Linked DNA regions of Tribolium castaneum. The protein of the gene in region 2 purifies or fractionates together with the protein of the main gene of each other region. This does not show direct contact. Links are inferred from orthologs where the notes say so. Each region holds a gene or a part of one and is shown on either strand. Other genes may lie near its edges.

The links. Proteins that work in one complex are often made in the same cells at the same time.
Region 1: the proteins of ZnT63C (region 2) and Xxylt purify together in Homo sapiens (co-immunoprecipitation; 3 studies listed by BioGRID and IntAct, with this or other methods). This does not show direct contact. The link is inferred for Tribolium castaneum from reciprocal best matches to the Homo sapiens genes SLC30A1 and XXYLT1.

What each region holds. Positions count from the first base shown.
Region 1 is NC_087398.1:11,171,723-11,179,484, reverse strand, and holds Xxylt (xyloside xylosyltransferase 1), read right to left. Parts: upstream 3,950-7,762; 5' UTR 3,657-3,949; coding exon 3,221-3,656; intron 3,173-3,220; coding exon 3,031-3,172; intron 2,934-3,030; coding exon 2,456-2,933; 3' UTR 2,243-2,455; downstream 1-2,242. Other genes in the region: calcyphosin-like protein, read left to right, coding at 1,703-1,912, 1,958-2,059; fl(2)d-associated complex component, read left to right, coding at 4,401-5,581. UniProt on the Homo sapiens protein: Alpha-1,3-xylosyltransferase, which elongates the O-linked xylose-glucose disaccharide attached to EGF-like repeats in the extracellular domain of target proteins by catalyzing the addition of the second xylose.
Region 2 is NC_087402.1:2,131,881-2,140,088, forward strand, and holds ZnT63C (proton-coupled zinc antiporter SLC30A1), read left to right. Parts: upstream 1-2,975; 5' UTR 2,976-3,449; intron 3,450-5,142; exon of another isoform or gene 5,143-5,174; intron 5,175-5,233; 5' UTR 5,234-5,239; coding exon 5,240-5,416; intron 5,417-5,464; coding exon 5,465-5,687; intron 5,688-5,733; coding exon 5,734-6,226; intron 6,227-6,271; coding exon 6,272-6,491; intron 6,492-6,560; coding exon 6,561-6,581; intron 6,582-6,841; coding exon 6,842-7,060; 3' UTR 7,061-7,287; coding exon of another isoform or gene 7,288-7,316; 3' UTR 7,317-7,675; downstream 7,676-8,208. Other genes in the region: UDP-glycosyltransferase UGT5, read right to left, coding at 18-437, 481-668; mitochondrial inner membrane protease subunit 1, read right to left, coding at 2,188-2,538, 2,588-2,689; radial spoke head 14 homolog, read right to left, coding at 8,071-8,157, 8,203-8,208. UniProt on the Homo sapiens protein: Zinc ion:proton antiporter that could function at the plasma membrane mediating zinc efflux from cells against its electrochemical gradient protecting them from intracellular zinc accumulation and toxicity.

The DNA.
Region 1 (7,762 bases), on a different chromosome or scaffold from region 2:
ATTTTTTTTATTATATCAGTTATACTCACTTTTACCCCAAATGTCTATTACTTCTTAATTTGAAAAAATATAGCGGGTCTTTATAAACAGATAACAAACCTGCACACAGGCGAAAACACCATTTGTGTAAGAAAAAACAACTTTTTGATGGCCACTTTATTTTTCTTTATTAAAATGTCATCACTATATTTTTGTATTTATATTTTTTTCATTTTTTGTATTTTGACCTAATTATGTTACTGTATTTTAAACATTAAACTATTGAGTTTTAAAAAGTCGGTTACAAATACTATTATTATGTGATAATTTTAATTTATAATTAGAGTAGGCTTTACTCTTTATAATATGTTTTTAAATTATATGAATAAACCTCTGATAATGATAATTAATCAAGCAGAAGTATCTACTAATAACATACCTAATCGTTAATTATAATACATTTTCCCCCCTGTTTGCACTAGTTTATCAATCACAAGGAAAAAACGCCTACTCTTATTATAAACTCAAATGATCGCATGATCTTTAAAACGAAATAAAAATTGGCTTGTGATGAAACGACATCCCATTGTAAAAAAACATGTTACCTATAATTTTTTTCATTAGAAATATAACTTGAACGTAATTAAAAAATTAAAAACCATTTCGTTTCTGTAGAAGTAAAAATTTTACGTGAAACGGCGAGCGTAAAACTCATCATGTTAAATTATTTTGCAATTATTGTCAATAAATCATACATGTTGTTACGGTCTTCAACTTTGTAACATTTTTAAAAATCGATTAATGTAGGTGTACACATAATAGTGACAATAAAAGCACTGTAAATAACAATTTTCTAAGTGCAAAGTAAAAAAGAGCTTAATAGACCCTTAAATAAAAAGCGTTTACCGTAAACATTATTTTTGTAGTTACCTATAGCTTTTAGATAATTATTTTGTGTTATCTTCAGAGGGTGGAAACAAGCATTTTCTTCACTGCAATATTTTTTACTTTTCAGTAACATCTTGGAATATTTATTATTATTAGATACTGCTTCCGTTAGATTAGACGCGACATTTTTTTACGAAAAATGACATTTATTAAATTTGATAATTCTTACTACACTAGTAAACCACTCACCAACCCATTTGGAAATTATGAAAAATATTTTTTTTATTTTACTGAATTATTTGTTACAAAAAATATTGTACCTAACTTATTTGGAATGTAATTTCCTACTCCCTTCGCTCATGCTGCAAACAATCAATTGCTCGTAATTACGTTACTTAGAGGTAAAATCTATTTCTGATTAATAAAATGTATTAATTATTTCACGTTGCACTATAATTTTTTCACTCGAGTGATAATTAAAAAACTAAAAGTATTTCAATTATTTGGGGAAGGTCGAAATTATAATTTTAAAATATCTCTTATTTTGTAAGGACTGTGGATGCATGCAAACGTGGTCTTCAACTTTGAAACATTCAAAAAAATCGATCGTTAAATTAATATTGATTGAAAAAGTTTCATAAATCATTTCATACGAAGTTAAAACATGAAACACCTTACTTTTCCAAATTATTCGCCAATGATTTGTCATTAAATCATCAATACACAAAGCTCCAAGACTCTTAAATTCAGTAAATAAGCGACCACATTTCGCGTAAACACTACTTAGATCAAGGACTTGTTGCTTGTGACCTAGTTTCTGAATATTTTATTCCAGCCCCCAATGTCTGAGTCACGCAAGAAAGTCGTTGAAGAAGCGTTCAAGAAAATGGACAAAACGGGAGACGGAGTGATCACAATAGACGATTTGAAAAATGTTTACAACGTCAAAGCCCATCCTCGATACATTTCAGGCGAAGAAACTGAGGAAAATATTCTGAAACGATTTCTAGCAAATTTTGAACAGGACGCCACCAAAGACGGACAGGTTGGTTAATGAAGATTGAACAAAAGTTTTAATTAATTTCTGTAGGTAACCCACGAAGAATTTTTTAATTATTATTCGGCCATCAGTGCCTCGATCGACAATGACGGCTATTTCGACCTAATGATGAGACAGGCTTACAAACTGTAATAATGAACCCAGTGCTTTGCAATTTTTGAATTTTTAAATTCACTATTTATAACTCACTGAATACGAAGTTTTATTACTCGAATGTTTCCTGTTGTATTCCTATATTGTAACCGATCTATAGATTTAAATACATGTATTTCGACTATCATGGGATTTTTTTTCAATTCTTAAGAAAACAAATCGAAAAATAAAAAACTGTTTATTTTTGAAAAATACTGTTTTACAAACAAGAAAATAAATGAGTACTTTCACAACCCAGTAATGCACTCGTACCTAATATACCGGGTCATACCACATGATTGTTTGATTGGCAATAACCAATGCTGCCAACTCAAATTTTCCCAAAACTACTAGTGGACGTGTAGAGATTCCACGAATAGATGACCAGTCTTTAATTTATTTTGGAATTTTCGTGTTGCAATTTCCATGTAAAATAACAGCGGGGTGTTGACACTTGAAATAAAAATCAAAAACATCACGGTAGCCATGCTCTCGCCACCAGACGCACAATTGGCGATTGAAACCACAATTTATGGTTTGAATCAAATCAGGATATTCAAACCCTATCAAAGTATAAAAATCCTGGTCACCCAAATGACCTCGAAATTTGTATTTGGACGTGAGATATTGCACAGTTTCATTCCTGATAATTTGGGAATATTCCTTTGATTTTCTTATTGCACTTAAATTAATCAAAACAACACCGGAATTATAGCCCTGGAAGCCACGAGGATGCTGCATATTGCTCGATATCGCCTTGGAATGATAATATTCTCCGAATGTTGAGTTCTTTTTCACTTTATAGGTTTGGAGGACGTGACGGTAGACTGGAGTCAGCTCGGGGGCCAAACCAAAAAGCGCAGTTGGCTTAAACCTATCAAACAGTTGAATTAAATTCCGATCAAAGTGATCTATGACTTCATGTCAGTCACAGGTCACTTTGACCAGAATAAGAAATTTCATAAACTCACTTGTCAAACTCCTCAAACACTAATCGAATATCCTTCTTAAAGTATAAATCACAGTCTAGTAGAAGGGCAGTTCGCTGGGAAGGTGGGGCTATCCGATACAGCCCCAAAGAAATATAGAAAAGTGCGTCGCTGTAGTAAGTACCTGAAGTCAAAACTAGTAATAGTGCAATTAAAAAGTAAGCCTTTTTACCCGGTTTTGAACTAAAATGAGGGGTCATAACGTCGACAATATCACTAATCGCTCTTGCACACGCTTCAACATCATAAAATTTATAAAATATTGCTTTATTCGAATGCGACACCACATCTGATATTTCACCTACTGCTAATTGCTTTGAGCTATTATCAACAATAATATGGAACTTTAAAGGAACAGAACTTATGTTTAAAATATTCTCCAACAAGTTGTGGAATTTATATCTTAACGGCGACCTTTGAGAGACTTTAGTAAATATCAACCAGACATTGTATTCTTTAGGCTTTTTGAATGGCAACAAAAATGTTGCATCGTTAGCAGAACCATCGGAATTGTAATGAAAAAACGTAAAATAAACAACTAATAACGCAGCAATTAAAATTCCAAGTTTTAACAAAAATCGTAGTTTAGGTTTTTTGGGGGCGTACATCGTTAATCATTTCTCTGTTTGTCGCAGGAATTGAACATTTTTTAAGTGTTACATTTCTATTTTTCCTTTACACAATAACACAACACAAACAACTGTCAACATAACCTCTCTTTTTGTTTGAAGACCACATTACGAATTTTGATTAATTTAATTAAATGTGCCTTTATCACTGATTGAACTAAAAATGCGAAAGCTGCTTAATGGAAAATTGGTCTTTAAACAGTGCTTTTAATATTTTTGCTCCTGTTGAAATGTTGGCCGCGACGCTACTGACTTTTTGTCAATAAATAAAAACAATTTGAAACAGACCAAAACTACGAAATTAATATCTAAATCATTCGCAAGTGGGGCATAATCAAAAATATATCATAATAAAGTGTACATTATCGACAGATTTTGAGTTTTAAAATTTTTGTTCCCGTAAAATTTCAGGTTGAGACCGCCACTGGTGTTGTCTGTTAAATGTCAAAAAACTATCACCTGTCAAGTGGCTACATTTTTGCAAAACAAATCGTTCCAGTTTTTTGGGAATTGGCTAAAATCTCGTTTGATTGATCAAAAAAGTGTCCATCGGGCGTTTGCAAGTCGAAATTGTGTTTTTTGGGCGCCATCTGTGCGGCATGATGTAAGGAGGCCCCTAGCCGATAAGCCCACAGTCTCCCATGCCGGCAACGTCAAACGTAAATATGGTAGCGTCAAGTGCTTCGCAATTTTTCCTCCTCACCTCGCGAACTCTGAGTGAAAATGTCTAAACAGGTCAAGCGCAAAATAACCGTGAACCTAACTCCGAAAAGCAAAGAAGTCTCGAAGCCTCGCCCCAGCGTGTTCGAGCGTCTGGGCACCAAAGCCAGCACCAGCCAGGACTTTTGCCACCACTGGGCCCAGAGCGGCACCTGCCCCTACGGAAAAGGCTGCAAGTACTCCTCCACCCACACCCTGATCAGCCCCTCGAAACGGGCGGCCAAGACCCAGCGCAAGGACAATGCAAATAAACGGGTCCATCCCGGAAACCCAGACGAGGATTGGGACCACTGGGACCCGGAGGAACTAGCCGACGCCGACCCTGATGATCTAGAAAAGCGCCGGCAAGAACTGCAAAGAGAACTCGAACTACAAATGAAAATGGAGAACAAAGCCCGGAAAAAGGACAAGAAAACCAAGAAGGAGAGCAGCCCCTCGACCGAAAGCTCGTCATCATCCTCGGACTCGTCCTCCTCAAGTGACGACTCCACCTCCAGCAGCTCCTCGTCCATAGAAACGCGTCGGAAGAAGAGTAAAAAAACCAAAACCAAACGCGACTCCTCCTCATCCTCATCGGAGCGCCCCCCGAAAAAGAAACCAAAAACGAAACGAACATCCTCAAAATCGTCACAACGCACCGACAAAACTAAAAAAACAACTAAAACAGCCCCAAAAGCCAAGTCTCCAACACCGCAACGCAGTCGGAAACAGTCGCAAACACCGCCCCCCAAAATCAAGCCGGGGCTCCCCCCAGCAAAGTCCCCAAGGCCCACGAGTCGGTCAAGCGACCGTAAGGAGAAACACCACACGCCCTCTCCCAAACCTAAAGAAAAGGAGAAGGAGAAAGAAAAAGAGAAAGAACGGGAAAAGGAGAAGGAACGGGAGAGGGAAAAGGAAAGAGAGCGGGAGCGGGAGAAGGAACGCGAACGCGAAAAGGAGAAGGAAAGGAACAAGAAAGATAGGGAGAAGGATGACCATAAAAAGAAAGAGTCAAGGTCGCCGAAACGGGACAGCAGGTCGACGAAAGACACTAAGAAGAGGGATACTCCAGATTCGTCGCATTCAAGGGATAAGAAGGGCTCACCAAGTCGGTCTAAAGGTAGCACGGGGAGCAGTCGAAGGGATCACAAGGGGACGCCGCCCAAGGAGGAGAGAAGTCGGGATAAAAAGGACGATAAGGATAGGTAAGAAACGAACTGTTTTTTAAACAATAAATCATAAAAGCGTAAGTTTTTTTAAAATTTTGTTAGAACTGTCTTCATTGAAGATACGCTTTTAGCAGATTCCCCCTTGCATTGCACTGTATATTGTATATGCGAGAAAGAAGTTCAAAGCAATGTTAGTTATGTATTATGTTTCTTTTAAATAGCACTTTCTATTTTTTGTTTATCACTGCTTTCGTATTCATCAAAAGACGAAAATCTTTCATTTAATGTTTCATTTTCACTTTATTTTCTTCAACTTTTACATATTATTATTTTTATTTTTAGAAATTCTAGCTTTGATTTAATGTTTCCAAAAATCTCACATTTAAATGTTTCTTTTGACCTTCCTGTGGAGTGTAATCTCAAATTCAAAGTTTCCTCTATCTTGAACTGCTCAGAGATTTTACACGTACAGAGTGTCTCAAAATTGGCGAATCCATAGTTCAGAGCATTGTAGAGAATCACTTCAGAAGTCTAAATTTAGAAGAAGAAAAAAAATATTCGGGGCTTTCCCACAAAGATGGGTTTGAAGATCACTCTTTAAATTGCGTTTTTTTTTTAAATGCAGGCTAAAAGTTTTAGTGTTGGTATTTATGGTACCTATGATTGTGGAAAATAATAAAATAAAACAATTTCCCAAAAGTTAGCTTTATTTTGGAGTAAATAAATCTAGAATGCTTCAATTTGATACTGCCAAATTTATTGAACCCTTACCTAAATCATTGTCTACTGAACTATCCACCTTTTCAGTTTTTTTTGAAATTCTAACAATTTTGAAGATGTTTTCACCTTTTAAATACATACTTGTTTGGCTAACATAATTTTTGATTTTATCTAAAAGTTTTGATGGATGGTATCACTGTTAACTTAAGTTTTTTTTAGTGTTGTTATAACTAGCTTAAAAATTGTGAAGTACATTTCCAATTAATAAGTTAAATGAAGCCGTTTCAGAATTTTATAGGTATACTTAGGTTTCACAGTTAGCTTAACTTTGCAATCATTAACTATTATTTATATTAACTAAATACTATGCTACTATTAATAATAAAAACAATTATGAAGTTCTTTACAATTAAAAAAAAACACAGAAAAAAACGTAAGCAAAAAAAAGTAAAAAATGAAGCTCTTGGGATTGGAAATAAAAATTAAAGAACAAAGGTCATAAACCTGACAGAATGCTCTGTGATTGGTAATCAGCATTTACGTTTTATGCAAAAAAATCTTTGTTTTCTAAAACATTTCTTTCATTAATATCTTCTTTCAATGTATTTTTTGTAATTTTAAATCTTTGAAAAAACTTTAAATTGTTAAGGCAGTATTTTTTCTAATTTTTTTCCAATTTTCTTATTCTGGTTTTTTACGAACAACGTGTTTTACTCAGTTTTGTTCGTTGATGTACCTAAGATATTTTTGAATTTTTTTCCATAATTAATGAGTACTGGCACAATAAAATTTTAGTGAAGTGTTATTTCACTTATTTCTTCGCAAAGTTTCACCTTCCTCACATATCAACTCGATCGGATTAAAGTTGCAATGATTGGGGAAAAAAAAACTTTCTTAAAAAAATGGAAATTTTTGAATTTCTTCTTTTTGGAAAATTTATTCGATGTTATTTCGTTTTTGCCGAATGGTGATTTGCAGTGTCCATTACAATTACATTATTTGTTGGAAGAATGGGGAGTAATTTTTCTAAAAACCATTTCAAAGTGTAACATATTTTTTTGGTAATCCACGTTTGCTTTATTTAGCAGAAATTTTATTTTAAAATTTTATTATAAAATAAAAAATAAACAACAACTACAATAACAGTAAATAATAATAAAACAATAACTGTTATTATTCCTTTAGTATTTCTACTCCTTTGCATGTGATTAATTTTTTGCTACACAGTGTCGAACTTTATGATAGTAATTTTTTTCTTAAACTTAATTTTTACGTCTATTTAACTTGAGTGATATTTTATCTGGTAACACAAACTTTTCTTCACAATTTATTGTCGCTGAAACAATTTTTAAATGATAAATATGAGTATTATATTTATCACCTACCTTTGAAATTACATACTTTTTAACAATTGATTCTGACTATTTGAAAAATGATGGGTAGACGTGAGAGAAATTATATAATACCGAGTAATCATTTTAGAATTTATCAAGAAGC
Region 2 (8,208 bases):
ACTTATCACAAACTTACAAAAACTTGGTATAAAGCAACATAATTGTGTTTTCGACTCTCTCAAAGAGGCTCATTTTTGCGGTGGTTGAAACAAAATAGTTTGGAATGTAGGAGGGGTTGTCTGGATTCCCAATCCTGTCCCCGGCCCATGGCAAACTTATACTACTTATTAGAGAGACAGTTGGGGCTTTAAAATAGTGACCAAAGCCCAGCATACAATCCGAGCCGAAAATTTCAGTAACCACAAGATCGTACTTTTTTTTGGTTTTCTTTAAGTCGCGCAAAACTGGCGTGTTTAGAGTCGCTGCACAAACATCAACGCCACAAATTTTGGTCATGAAGTGAATCATGTGGAAGTTTGTGAAGCCGTCAAATGCATTGAGGGATAAATTATTGACGAAAATCGGCAGACTTCCGACTAGACTTAGCTGATTATACCTACAATTTTTAATAAGTGTGATAGGGAAAAAATTGTTTTTACCTGGCAGGTGGATCCTTTGTCGGAAAATGGGTGGCAATATCAACATTGTGGCCTTTTTCTGCAAGGCCTATTAACAGGCGTTCAAACATAACGAAGTGGCTTTTGCCAGGCATGGGGAAAATTCCGAGAATGTTGGCAGTTTGTCCGATTGCGAAAGTCGAAATAACAATAAAAAATACCGAACGCATTGTAAATTTATTGCAAATCTCACTGTGATAACTAGGTGATCCTCTGCTTTGATCGTTATATAAGATGTTGGCGAGTAATTGGCTTGTTGCGTGTTGGGGCACTTAGTTTCTCCTATTATTTTAAAGATGACACAGCACAAACGATTTGTAGAGAGTCTACCAAAAAATATAGCTTCTATACTAACACAATTAACTAATTATCGTGTAGTGAGTACTCGTGAGATCACTAATTAACTTTCAATTATGAAAAATTATGACCAACTGCACGGAAATTAAAGACTGCGCTTACAAAAGCTTTTAGTTTTGGATGTTCGAGTGACTATCATGTTTGTAGATTGATAAAAGCCATGAGTCTTCTGAATGTACCAAACGACAAAAATTTTCAAAGATAATCATTGTACTACATTAAGTAATAATCTTTGACCCAGATATTGAACGAGACCTAATTTCAATATTTCAATATAGTTTAATGCATTGGCAACTTCTCCTTCTAGATAATGCTCGACTTGTGATTAATTATGAGAATGAAAAGGCAGAATTTTTATTGCAATTGTAAACAATTTTAAATGGTGCACTAATCGAAACTAACTTCAAACAATTTTTTATTAGCGTGTTTTACTTACCGCCTAAAATCTTCAACTAACTATAACAAAAAAAAATGTAGCACATACTTTTCTATGAGTTTTTAAATACTGCTCTGCCACAAACTGAAGTAATAATATTATGTAAGTGCTGCTGCAGCGATTCAAAGTCTATAAAGAAAATTAACAAACTCAATTAAAATAAATCACAGCGGTAATAAAATAATAAAAGACCAACACAAATTCAATAAATTTTGTATTGTTTTGAATGTCGGTTGCGTAATAAACATTTTATTATTTCTGCGACTGTCTTGGTCATGTGCTTTTATTATTAACTCATTTGAAACACTTGAAACCAACATAGACCAAACAAAAGATGAAAATTTTTATTTTGCAAAAACTGCGTTTTGTATAGAAAATTTTGCTAATTTATCCCTCACTAAAATAAATACATGATAAATCACTTTATTAAACGAAGATTAAAGTTATCTGCCATATAACAATTAGGTACTATCTGGAATAGTAAAGTGTTTGATAAAACAATAATTAATTGTCTGGTACAAACGGATTTTTATACAGCTGCACATACAATGTAGTGTTTTGTGTTTCTCATATTTGCATTTTGTAAGGTGCTGTAGTTTTTTATTTAACAGGACACTCAAGTTGTCTCTTTCAACCACGAATATTTTTTTATAATTGTATAGAGTGTTATGCAACCATTACTACGGTGTGCTCACATTGTATTCTATTTTTTAGTCAATCTAAGATTAGAAGAGTCCGGAAAAGTACTACTTTACGGACGATTTCAAAATAAAATAATAGAAAAACAAAATAAAACAGCCCACATTTTTGTTAATTTATATTTATAAAATTTACAAATCAACAAATCACAGTTTTCTATTATCATTATTGGCTATTGGGATAAAAAGTCCGGTTAATTAGTTGGTTAACAATTTAATGTCCTTCAAGGGCCAGACTCGACACAGGGCCCTACTGCGGATGAGCCCTTGGGGCACTGGCCCATAGTTCCTAGAATCGGAAGAATTACCCGAATTATCGCCCTCCAACCACACGTGACCTCTAGGCACGATTTCGTAATTATTAAAACCAAGCCTAATTTTATCCCCCGGTAAACCAACCACTCTCTTACAGATATTTTGCTTAGGGTTGGAAGGACATTTAGCTATGACAATATTTCCTCTATCTATTCGATTCAGCCTAGCACTGACGTGTTCAGTTAGTAAAATATCATCGGAGTAAATCGTTGGCTCCATTGAAGGCCCTGAACACTAAAATTGTGGATTCGTTAAACAACGATAATTTTTTTAACTTTGTTACCAGAACAAAATCGCCTAGATATTCGAAAGTGCAGTGTGCCACACAGGCATATTGAATTACAAAGCCCACCGAACCCAGCGTTTTCCAAAAAAGCTTCCGCATAGCGATTTTTTTGGGGTTATGGGGGTTATGTCACATTTGACACTTGGCCACTCGAGAGGTCTCTCCACTCCCTCTAACAATATTAAAATTAAAAAAGTAATCAAAATAGCAGTTTTGAATCGTAATGATAATTTAAAGAGTAAAAAGTAATGTAATTTTTCTCTAATTAATTTAAAATTGCATTGGCGCCTATTGTCCCCACCACAAGACGCTTATCAATGACATAAAAGTGTGCTAGATAGCGCGATAAAAATAATTAAAAAATTCTACAAGGCGATTATCGACTGCCTCGTGGCTTTTTCGTGTCTAGGACAAAAAAATTACCGTTTTGTGAATTTTTTTTGTTTATTTGTTGCTTATTTATGTTTGTGTTGACGATTTTTCTCTTGACGTCATTAGAAACTCGTCCGTTCATTGGCTGAAATGTTACAGTGGTCTATTGTCTGTCAGTTCTTCAGTTGTGGTGATTCTATGGTAGTGAAGTGTCCTTCCTTCTGTCAAATTGTATGACGTACGCTTATGTATTAAATAATTAACAAGAAGCTCAGCTTTTCCATTAACCACTACAGTGTTTTCAGTTAGGCGTCTAATTAATGTCTTATTTCGTTTTAACAAAAACCCTCCAAGTTTAGGCAAATATGCTGTGATATCGTGTTTACAAGTGCTTACACAGGAGACTGTAAAAATCTACAAAAACTGACCCATGCTTCTTATTTCAGTAATATGGTGACACAAGTGAGACAGTTTTAACAAAAAACAGGTGAGAATTTTTCTGTGTAGGTACTGCTTTGTTAACAGTTACGTACAAAAAGCTTATCAATAACCCACTTTGCTATCGATTGTAAACATTTCGTAAACTCCAAAGCCAAGAAACAATGACTAATAAACTACTGCACCCCCAACAACACAATTTATTACTGGAACCAACAGCCGCATTTATTTTTGTACAGTTATTCCTAATGTCACTAAACTTGCATTTGCCCCCAGTTTCCTGAACTGTTTCAAATTTGAAAACGCCGTGTCATCACGAAAATCTCTAAAAAAGTACGGATTAACCGCAGGTGATTTATGACCACAACTTAACCGGTTATAATGAGCCTTCAGCAAGAATTTGTACGTGATTGGAAATGATTTAATTGCTTGTAGTTATTAGAAGTGAGGACTTTTTATTAGATAATATTTCCTCAAAGAAAGTTTTTGCATAAAGCGTTGTAATCTTTAAATGTAACTTTCTCCTTTGTTTACTATTACCACCCGAAGTGTGGTGGGTACTTAATAATTCATTCCAAGAATTACTCATCTTGCAATAAGCGAACATTCCTTTGTTAAATATTATTATTTTTGATAGCACGAACTTCGTAGTGATTTTTTCGAAGGTGAACCACGTTGTAAATTGCGTTTGTAGCGAAAAATTTTTTTGTGGTAAAAATTCATCACTTCGATTGTATTTACATAAGAAATATTGCAGCAACCTTGCAAAATTATCAGTATAGTGTATGAATAATGCAGCAGGAATTTAAATATTACATTACTCGATTTCTAGGATGTTCGACGTTGTAGAATCTGTTAAATCACCTTGCTGTTATAATCGATTTAAATGCAAATACAACGCGGTCAATGCTAGAAATATGGTTGTCTTGTGTCAGTTGCTACCTATTTCATGTTATCGTTATCTCAAACTATTCGTATCAGTATTTTATCTAATAGTAAAATTTATGTGCAGGAGCGAAGTATTCCAAAGTAGAAATCAGAGACAAAAGATCCGAGCGTTTCGTGATGCAAACTTAATCAATAAGCAGGTCAAACACCCAATTATCTCATTTTTCTAAACGTTTTGTTTGGTTTTATGCTTTCTTCATATCGGAACAACAATCTGGAAAGAATATGTGCCGAGTTCAAGTGAAAGCATAATCACGTCTAAATTTTTGAGCGCAAAATATAGTGTTTTGTGCTAGTATTTAATTGCCCACACTTGTAAATAACGGATTAAGCGGTCGATTAGAAAAATAATGAGTGTGTTTAGTTTCAAACTAACGACATAAACAAGTCAGTAAACACAAGTTTAAAGGAAGTGGTCGTGCTTTTATCGGACGGTTCAGTGATGGTTTTGCGGTTATTGATGTCCAAAAAATAATCAACCGACTGACAAGTAGTTTTCAGTTTCAACCAGATTGTGAAAATTGCACAATTCCTTTGTCGTCAAATACTGTTTATTCGGGGCAAACACTAAATAAAAAAATTCATTATCACCGAATTAAATTGTTTGTTTTGTATGGGCATTGTCTGAAAAAATGACTAAAGTCTGGAATAACTCAAATTTATCAAAAAACGCGATAGTTCAACTAATTAATTACGCCTAATACAATGGCAAATAAACAATTGAAATATTTTATTCATACGTGGATTCTTTGAACACTTGACTAATTCCCTTTGTGTTAACAAACTGTTATCAGTCACATTTAACAACCAATTAAGGCAGAAAAAGGTTCGTGAAAATAGCGGCGATTACATAATGCATAGCTTTTAATTTTTTTGTTGTTAAAGATCACAATGCCAAAATGGGCCGGAAAAAAGTGTCGTCTGCTCTCGATGTTGGGGCTGACGACGTCCTTCTTCTTCGTCGAAATAGTCGTAGGTTACATAACAAATTCGATGGCTTTGGTCGCGGACAGTTTCCACATGCTAAGCGACGTGGCCGCCTTGATGGTGGCCTTTGTCTCAGTCAAGGTAAAGCAAATGAAAAGCGTACGATTTTCCCAACTCGGAAAATTCCAGATGTCTCCGAAGAAGTGGTCGAAAAACACGTTCGGTTGGGCCAGAGCTGAAGTCCTTGGTGCTTTAGTCAACGCCGTCTTCCTCGTAGCTCTTTGTTTTTCCATTACAGTGGAAGCTTGCAAACGGTTCATCGAGAGCGAAGCGATTCACGACCCACAATTGTTGGTCATTGTGGGTGCGTTGGGTCTGTTTGTTAATTGTATAGGACTGCTGTTGTTTCATGGTATGGGGACGATTTCGTTTGGTTGTTATTTATGGGCGAGTTTTAGAGCATGGTAGTAGCCATGGTCATTCCCATGGTCGTTTGGCCCATAGTCGAAACCGCCTAACACAACTAGCCATGACTGACGATAACGAAAACGACGAAAGTTATCCCAGTCCTCCGCCGGAGAAATCCTCCCATCATGGGCACTCAAGCCCCGGACAGATGAACATGAGGGGGGTTTTCCTCCACGTGTTGTCCGACGCTTTAGGCTCAGTTATCGTAATTATATCAGCAGTTGTCTTCTGGCTGTCGTCGTGGAAATACAGGAATTACATCGACCCAGCTTTGAGCATACTGCTGGTATTGTTAATAATGAACTCTGTATGGCCTTTGTTGCGAGACTCGGCTTTAATTTTACTACAAACTGTCCCGACGCATATTCAAGTCGACGCAATCCAGCGGAGGTTACTGGCGAAAGTCGACGGAGTCGTAGGAGTGCACGAGTTTCACGTCTGGCAATTGGCCGGAGACCGAATCATAGCTTCAGCCCACATTAAGTAAGGTTTTCTGGTTAATTAACCCTCTCTTAATGTAAATGCCAGGTGCCGTAATTTATCCGAATACATGAAAATCGCGGAAAAAGTCAAAGAATTCTTCCACAACGAAGGCATCCACTCGACGACAATCCAACCAGAGTTCATTGATTACCAAGCTCCGGAAATCACAGATACTGACCAAACCGAAGATTGTGTTCTTGATTGTCCCAAAACCACAGACAGTGACGACTGCGTGCAAAACACATGCTGCGGTCCATCGAAACAAGTAAGTTACGACCGAAAAATCGAAAGTGCGCACATTAAAACAACCGTAAAATAATTGATTTTTTCTTAGTTGGAGAGAAGCCTCTTGAAAGTGAGAGTAAAAAAATAATGCGGCTTGGGTATTAAATTTTGGTTTTTGCTAACAGCTGTGATCCACTGTGTGATTAATGCGAAAAAATCTGTGATTGTTTTAATAAAACTATTTTACCTAACTTGTTTTATTGGTGGCACTAACACTGAAGCATCTCCCAAACAACTAATTGTATTTTAACTTCTTGTTACATGTTGACTTGTTTGTGGGGTGCGTTTGCGGTTCCAGGCGTCAGTTAGCCAACCGTTGTTGTGTTCTAGGGACGTGAGACGCCCTCGCCCAATAACACCCCGTATATGGTCCGTCAGCGCGGCAATTCCAGCAACAGTTCGAACAATTCGCAGGAAATGAACGAAATGGAGGCGGGAGTGCTTTTGGAAAAAGGTAATTCTCCAGTGCCCAAAGACTACAATTGTATCTCAAGGGGTTCACAGTGTTCGCAATACTCAGTAAGACCTGGTTCAGAACCAAGTTTCTGATACCTTGATGTTTCACATATTTTAATTAGGCTCTAGTTACCTTATTAAGTATAAAAAGTCGTGTTTTCGTGTTAATAACATCACTTCAGTTTTGTAATATGCTCTACCAGTAAGTTTCACAGATTTTGTTACTACTACAGTGTGAATCTAGTCTTAGTACAATTTTGTTTTCAGTTTTATTACTTGTAGTTCGGCTATGGCCAAGTTGGTAAAGCATATTTTTCTAGATAAGAACAATCTCAATACGACGGAGTGAAAGAGCAAGATTTCAAAAAATGATCGCGTACTTACATTGTATCATGTGATGAATAAGGGCGACAGAATAAAATCAAGTATTAATTGGGCGGTAGCTAAACGTCAAAACCAGTACCTTAAAAAGGCCCTTCATCGTTTACACGTAACTAGATTAGGAAATTTTCTCGGCTATTTTGCAAACTTGTATACCTACCGTGTTGGGTGAAGTACAAGTGTTACATATTTATATTTTATTTTGTATATTAAGTATTATGTTACATACTTTTTATTCAACATCTAAAAACAAGGTTATACTATATTTAAAATCACAGACACTGTGTGCAGCCTATTGATGAAATAAAATTAAAGGAAGACTAAAAAGTGAGCTTTATTTGGTGGGCTTTACCTTACCTAATACTCATCTTCGGACCTCTTTTCCCAGTCAAACAATATAGCTTAGGAGACGAAACGAGATACAAAATCAAGGGTTTTCTGAACCCAAAAAAATAGTACGGCAGAAATCGTTTTAAATTAATTTAAATCCAACCAATTTTTGCAAAAATATGGGTAGGTTGGAATTACAAAGTATAGGAAACTGTTTTTTTAAGTCTTGCTACGAACGCGTAATTATCACAAGCGGGCAGAAATTCATTTACATGCTGTTATTACGTGCACAAAAAATCCAACCTCTGCATAATAAATTGTTTTGCACGGAAGACTGTCAAAGCCTGAACACAAACATAACCAGTGTAGTATTTATACTAGACATTGACTACTTATTCTACTTTACGTTGAGATTTGGCATCTACCACACTTAACGCAATACCTAGCTGAGCTGCATAATAGGTGGACATGACAAGGGCCTAAAAAATAATTAATTTTCCACAAATAAATGTTAATTGAATTACCTGTGA